Linked DNA regions of Xenopus tropicalis. The protein of the gene in region 1 interacts with the protein of each later gene in a biochemical or structural test. Links are inferred from orthologs where the notes say so. Each region holds a gene or a part of one and is shown in the gene's direction. Other genes may lie near its edges.

The links. The genes of interacting proteins can lie anywhere in the genome.
Region 2: the proteins of ube2m (region 1) and dcun1d5 form a complex in vitro, tested with the Homo sapiens proteins (3 studies listed by BioGRID). The link is inferred for Xenopus tropicalis from reciprocal best matches to the Homo sapiens genes UBE2M and DCUN1D5.

What each region holds. Positions count from the first base shown.
Region 1 is NC_030683.2:103,017,372-103,021,314, forward strand, and holds the end of ube2m (NEDD8-conjugating enzyme Ubc12), read left to right. Parts: intron 1-1,341; coding exon 1,342-1,445; intron 1,446-2,212; coding exon 2,213-2,276; intron 2,277-3,230; coding exon 3,231-3,371; 3' UTR 3,372-3,735; downstream 3,736-3,943.
Region 2 is NC_030678.2:161,536,810-161,540,752, forward strand, and holds part of dcun1d5 (DCN1-like protein 5), read left to right. Parts: intron 1-2,342; coding exon 2,343-2,451; intron 2,452-3,376; coding exon 3,377-3,481; intron 3,482-3,943. UniProt on the Homo sapiens protein: Contributes to the neddylation of all cullins by transferring NEDD8 from N-terminally acetylated NEDD8-conjugating E2s enzyme to different cullin C-terminal domain-RBX complexes which is necessary for the activation of cullin-RING E3 ubiquitin ligases (CRLs).

The sequences.
Region 1 (3,943 bases):
TCCGCCTGGTGCCCAGAATTTGGAGAGACCGGCATTCTCCACCACGTTCCAAATAGCACAAAAATACCGGCACAACAGGACTTGTTTAAGCGGGACAAACCCTGCTGATTTTTAATAGTAGCAAACCATGTAACCATGTAACTTTTTACAACAGATTGAATACTTGCTGAGAATAGCCCGGTCTATAAAATAGTAAAAGTTTATTAAAAGGGGATCCACCCCTTTAAAATACAACATTTTCGGGCTAACCACAAGGCTGTGAAATTAATATTTTCACAATATTTTCTCGTTGAGAAATGGAATGGGGTGTGTTATCATTTGCTTTTATTAATCTGCCATCTCTACAATAAGAGGGAAGGAACCATAATGAAATCTATAAATTGTCTGTGTACTGGCCATGGGCACCTGTGTATATTGTACATGATATATAGATGTATAAATGCTTGCCTTTAAGTCTGTAAGGGACAGATGGATGCACCGACTCCATGCATCAGCGGGAGCTCTGTGTTTGATTTGTGTGTTTGCTCAGTAGCATAGGTCCCATCATCTCTCTATCCAAGCAGCTGCCTTTGGCACAGACCTGGAAAGGCCATAAACACTGGTGCAAATTGAGCATTTTGATTCTTTTTCTCCTGAGAGAAACACAACTATAAAACCTCCCTATGCGTTATATTTCTTTGGGTTGTATTTCTGTTCGTATTTGCTCCCATATTGCTTTGGGTGCTGTTGCTGCTGCATTCGGTCATTTTGGCGGGCTGGAGATCATGCTTTCTCTGTACTGACTCAGTGATGAGGCCATAGTCTGACAAGTGTTTCAGGCAAAGAATGTAGAGGAAATGGGAAACAAGGTGAACTGTTAGATCTATTAGTTAGATCTGTTAGCTTATACAGTGGCACTGAAATATACGAAACATAACCCCAATTGGACCCCATGCACTGTTTTGGGCTTCATTGGGAAGAGGGCAGGATTTGCAGCACAGAGCCACAGTAAGTAAAGCTCTGCTTTAAGGGGCTAATCTGTATAAAGCTGGGGGTGCCATATGGTCTATATTATGTACACATATACTGGTCCATTGCCTGGGTGCTGGTTAAAAATGAGCAAAATATACTTTACTTATGAGCAAAATATAGTTTACTTACAGGTCTTAGCATCAAAACAAAAGTGTTTTTACTGAAAATTCGCCAACATTTCAGTTACTTGAACAAATTTGTGTTGATGCTTAGACCTGTGATATATTTTGCTTATTTATATAAATGCACTCTGCTGCTTTGTGAAGTAATACTTTCAGGGACAAATGAGCATTTTATTGTTATCCATTGCCTAATTTTTGTTGCTTGCAGGTCGGACAGGGCTACCCACATGACCCTCCAAAGGTGAAATGTGAAACCATGGTATATCATCCAAATATAGACCTAGAGGGCAATGTCTGCTTAAATATTCTAAGGTATGCACATTTTATTATTTACTCATCAGCTTGCTGCTCATCCTTTATGTAGCTATAGCACGCCCTCTGCTGGGGAAACCTGTCTGCAACAGATTTCATTTGATAAAATATATTTGTTTAAAAACAAGAATCTGCAAAATTGCATTTTATGGTAAGTGCCAGTGCGTGTTCTGTGCCAACAGGTCTGCCACCCTCTGTTGCCTTTAAATTTGGTAATTTCTTCTCATTTTGGATGAAACACATGATAGTTTCTAGTTGATTTATAGTCACTGAATAAAAGCTTTGGGTTCCTTACAATCTCTGCTTTCACTGGGCTGGATTGTGTTCTCTGATGCCACCAGGATGTGTTATGGTCATGGACAATTTATACTTCCTCCTGGCTTTTGGTATCTTCCTGGTACGGCAGCATAGAATGCATGGTGTGAAACAACTTCAGATTGCCATAGTCTTGTGCGCTGGTCGTTTCGGTATATGGTAGAATCAGCTGCTCCTTGATGCCTGCATAGCTGGATGTACAAGTTTAAAAGGGAGCCATTCGTTTCTATGTGAATCATATGAATGAAATTGCACCATGTGCCCAACCTTCCCCCCTGAGTGCATCCATCTTGTAGGATCCAGCCATAGATCATCCAACTGCAGCAAGTAGTTATTTTGTTGGCACACTATATGCATACATATGTAAACTGTTGCTTTGCATTCATGATTCAGTTCCTCTGCCATATTAGCTCTCTTGCACGTGTGAATTTCTGTTCTCTTTTTCCATACAGAGAGGACTGGAAGCCTGTACTCACAATAAATTCAATAATTTATGGCCTGCAGTATCTTTTCTTGGTAAGTTTGATACATTTAAAACCACATTATATGCATATGTGTGTGTGTATATACATATATAATATTATTGCTGCATTTAACAGGAATCGCTGCAAGTAAAGCATTTCATGTGATTACATTGCTTGCAGCCATTCACCCTCCCAGCAATAGAATGGCTTTTGAGGTGTTTTTGTCACCATAACAAGATGCCCTGACTGTCATTGCCCTTACAGTGAGTTACAGTTAGTAGTCAGACAATTTATATCGGGAAGCAAGGATTCAGTCATGCTTTAACCTTGCTGATGAGCAGGGATGCCTTTTAAAATTGAGTGTGTTTGACTGCTTAAAGCAACACAGTCAGGAAAGTTGGCAGTTAGAAATTTAGATCTGCTTGGAATCCATCAGGCCCCCTATATATTTTGTATGTGTAATAATGCATTTTCAATAGAGCTAGTAGATCCTGGTGCAGTAACTTAACTAAAGGTAGAGGCCATCTTGATATACTGCGCACCCTTCTTAAACCCATGGCGTGTGTTGCTGTCAGTGCTCGGAAGCATTCAGCTCCAAGTTCCCATGGCTTCATACAAGATCCATTTACTGTTTTACTTGCTACATGCTGTAGTAGTGGCCATCTTGATATACTGCGCACCCTTCTTAAAACTCATGGCGTGTGTTGCTGTCAGTGCTCGGAAGCATTCAGCTCCGAGTTCCCATGGCTTCATACAGATCCATTTACTGTTTTACTTGCTACATGCTGTATAATGGGGCCTCCTTATGAGCACAGTATCAGAAAAACAAACTGGGTGACTATAAGCAATAAGGAACATAAGGCAGAAATCAGGCATTTTTGTTGCAGCTTCTAAAGAGCTAAGCATATGAAACCGCAGCCCTAGTGTTTCTTAAACATGTCTGTCTGTATCGATATCCTGTGCATGCCACAATTTGCTTCCATTGACCATTTGTTTTGCGTGCTAGGAGCCAAACCCTGAAGACCCATTAAATAAAGAAGCTGCTGAGGTTCTTCAGAACAACAGACGCCTGTTTGAACAGAATGTGCAGCGATCTATGCGGGGTGGTTACATAGGATCCACCTACTTTGAGCGCTGCTTGAAATAGAACTTGAGCAGCTCTGAGTGCAAAACCCGCCATCCATCTGACCAGCTTTTCTGCCCTCACCCAGTTATGTCTCCCATCGCTCATTTATCTTGCCTTCATTCCCTGCCCTACCCTCCCAAAAGAGAAAAAAAAACACAAACCCAGCCTGAGCTCCTGATGTAGAAGGAAATATGCAAGGTGGTCATGTGTCTCCTGGTCCTGCTGCTAGCCCTTTTTATAGAAGGGGGAACACTGAGTGCAGATTGACTTTTACCGTACCTTTGTAATGCCATTGTTTGAATTCTCATTACCTCACCTTGCTCTTCTTTTCTCATGCAGAGCATCTGTTTATCTTTAGGTTAATAAATATATTTCCTCTGCCTTCCCTTATTTTCTTTGTTGCTGTCTGAAGGCCCTTGATGACTCAGATAGTCATCAACTGAGAGGAGTCATATATATATATTTTCTAACAGCAGCAAAGTAATGTATCATGCATTTCCTCCTGTCTGCCTGAACCATAACCAAGGTTGGTGGGGCCTCATGTTTCCTTTAATGGCCTTATGCCTTAAGCTTTTGTTAATCAGGGAGTTATT
Region 2 (3,943 bases), on another chromosome or scaffold:
ATTAATTATATCTTAGTTGGGATCAAGTACAGGTACTGTTTTATTATTACAGGGAAAAGGGAATCATTTAACCATTAAATAAACCCAATAGGGCTGTTCTGCCCCCAATAAGGGGTAATTATATCTTAGTTGGGATCAAGTACAGGTACTGTTTTATTATTACAGGGAAAAGGGAATTATTTAACCATTAAATAAACCCAATAGGGCTGTTCTGCCCCCAATAAGGGGTAATTATATCCTAGTTGGGATCAAGTACGTATTGTGCAGATAGTTTCAGGCATAGCAAGACACATCAACCCAACAAAATAATTTGTTGCCTAATATAAGAAAACATTCTAAGCAACTTTCAAATATACATTTATTGTAAATTTGTAATGGTTTTTAAGTTACTTGTATATATAATTGCTATTAAAAGTAGTGTTTGTCCTTTTCTATTCTCTACCCTGGGGGCTCTGACTCGGCAAATGCTGCTTTCAATAGCAATAACATTTACAAATACCTTTAAAAGCACTAAAAGTTTTCATGAATTTATATGGAAAGTTACTTAAAATTATGTTCTCTTTTATTAGGCTAACAAAAAATATTTTTTGGCTTGACATGTCCTTTAGGGACAGGACTAGCTGAGCCTCGAGAGCACTGGATTTTTCTTAAATGATCCCTTAAGTCTTTGATTGGGCCTTTGTGGGTTTTTGGATTTTTTTCTTTGTGTGTATAGTTAGGCCACTTATACACTGCATGACAGCAATTGTTTGGCCACCTGTGGAGTTTCCAGCCTCACAATCACATTTTCACAGTCGTGACCATGCCAGGGTAATCATGGTGCAGGCAATTGTTGCTCGGAAACATGGCAGTTAGTAATTTCGAACAATAATTGCCTGGCACTCGATATGTTCTTAGCTGGCAGAAAAGCACCCAGAATCATCTCTTGCCTCCCATTGACTGTAACCTAGACCCACTTTTCTTGCTATTAATAAAGGCCTTTAGGTTGGGGGGTGGAGAAATGGGTGGGTGGGGATAATGGGTGGGGCAGAGGCTGGTCTCTATATAAAAGGGGGTGATCATCTGTGGAAAGAGTCAGGGAAGGGAGGGATTATAGGTAGGGTTCCTGGCACTGGCCCTTGCTGGCCTGAAAGCGCTGATGGTAGTAGAGCTGGGCGGTATGACCAAAAATCTATATCACGGTATTTTTCAAAATTATATCGGTGTCACGGTATTTGACGGTATTTTTTTTTTCCATGCATGATTAGGTGTTAACCCCATTTCCTAATAAATTAGAGAATAATTACTGCAGTATTGAAAATCAGAGTCAGGCAAGCGAAGGATCGGCAACAGAAAGTCGTAAGGTAAATCAGGCAGGCTTAGTTTCCCAGGCAAGGCCGCAGACAACATAGCACAGGAGGAGGCGTTTGATAGCTTTAAATACCCCCCACGCATGCAAAGAACCAGCGCGTCACGGACGTGCACACTTTGACATGTACGTGCGCTTTGACGCGCGTGCGCAACGTCCCGCGGACAATGGGACGCGCGCACCCATGCAAGGAGGGGCGCGAGACCGGGCCGCACAGGTGAGTACCCTGACACCCCGGTATTGCGGTATCTGAAAAATTAATATAGTTTTAAAAAAAAAAAAAAAACACCGATATTCGGTATTAAACGGTATATCGCCCAGCCCTAGATGGTAGGGTTGCCACCCAGCCAATCTGGCATTTCACATTACAGCCAGAGGTGGCAGGGTTATTTCTGGATCCTTCTTTGGCAATGGCACCCCCATTATCTCCATCCCCCGAATATTCACAGCACAGCAATTATAGTGGTTCTTACACGCCACGGTATTACTCACAGCATGCATTACTGCATTTATTCTGCATTATTTATTGCATTATTTATTTACTGCATTATTCTTTGTTACTTTTGTCTTTTGTTACAATACATAAACAATACACAGTTATCGGAGTATCAAAGGTCTTAAATTTCTGTTTCCTTCAAGCCCTGTGTTAGCCTTCTTTATATCTGACTTAAGCAACTTGTGACTTCCAGGGAGTTATTATTTTATAGGAGCTAGTGTAAACAATCCCAACATTCCCACCTTTATATCTTTTAAATTGCCCAGCTTTATAGGTCAATTTCAGAGGGCTTATTCACTAACCTATCTACTCTTAGGACTGTGACTAATACTTTAATGTTTTCATATATGTGTGTAATTTTATTATGTGTTAAGTGGGGGCCTCAACAACTGAAAAGGGGCTTGAAAAAAGTATATTATGGGTTCTTGCTGGTTCCTCCTTAAGTTGCAGGTGTTAAGCTTCTTGCTAATCTCAATTTTCTGATATTTAATGTTTAAGATGTGACTGTACCGAGAAGCTGCAGAGTAAATTTGATTTCCTACGCGCTCAACTGAATGATATCACAGCTTTTAAGAATATTTACAGATACGCATTTGATTTTGCAAGGGTAAGTCTGAATTGGATTCATGCAAGAATAACCGCTGACCCCCTGGGTTCATCATACAAAAAACATCATTAAATTGTCTTTATTTAGAATGAAAAACAAATTTGAAACAAACCCTTGGCACCAATAACTGCAGTTTGGATCACTATTCTTCCATTATTTATCCCAGCATTCCACACCACTTTTGCTGTTTAATAAAAATATAGAAATATGTTTTTCTTCCATTAGATTTCTTCAAGGGAAACTATTTTCCTGTTTTTATGTATAAATGCTTATGTATTATCGTTTTTCCCTTTCCAAGCATGCTTGGGCGTCCATCACAGAAGTACCCAAATCATCACTGATGAAAGACTGTTACATTTATATATTGAATTTGAACCAACAGCGCCACCTGCTGTTCAAGTTTGCTGAAAATTTATTTCATGAGAAAAGCAAAGTCGTGTAATGTTTCTCTGCTAAGAAAATGTAGCAAATGAGCAGAGAAGAGTCAGTTCTAAGTAGAGCAAATTCACAATTCCTTGTTTTTCTCATAAAATATGTTGTAAAACATGTAGGCAGCAAGTTCATTATATATAGCAGTTTTAAAGAAAAATAATGGAAATTGCAGAAGAAAATCAATTGTACTTTCATTTGTTTTGTTTTAGTTTTTTTTTTAGTTTAGTTATTTTCCCCTTAAATAAAAAGATTTCTTACTGACACATAAAAGGTTTCTTTACCCACAATGTTCTTTTTAAATGGGTTTAATGGATACAGTTCATTGTGTAATGACCCACAAGATCTCTCCCATAGTATAAAACCCTTAGTCCTCTACTAAACGTTGGTTCTGTGTTTCCTTGGGGCAGCTTCCTTTCAATAAATGATAGTGCTTCATTACCTGGCATTTTTGTAACAAATAAGCACACTGTCCATTCATTTTCCTTTACTGCAGGACAAGGACCAGCGAAGTCTGGATATTGACACAGCAAAGTCCATGTTAGCTCTCTTGTTAGGAAGGACGTGGCCCCTCTTCTCAGTGTTCTATCAGTATTTGGAGGTAAGAGGAAGCAATGGATCTTTGGGTAGGAAAACATACTAACGTTATGGGCATTTATAAAGCAGCACATGTAGCATAGGGGCTCTGGCTTTCTCTCTTTTCCCCTATTTCTCCCATGTTCCCAAGTAGAGGCCCAACCAAAGTGTTCAGAGAGTTGATGTTGTTCATGAGAAGCGATTAAAGGAGAAAGAAAGGTAAAAACTAAGTAAGCTTTATCAGAAAGGTCTATGTAAATACAGCCATAAGCACTCACAGAAACGCTGCACTGACTTCTCTGTCTAAAGATTTGTTGTGTCTGTATTTTATGTGCCACAGACACGCAGCTCTCTGCTTTCTCCTCTCTCCTGCTCCCCCCTCCCTCAAGAATGCTAAGAACTCACTCCCCCCCTTAGGAATGCGGGTCTGAGCCAATCAGCGGGAAGCTGACTCATAGTCTTACAAACATGTACACTTGGTCTGGGT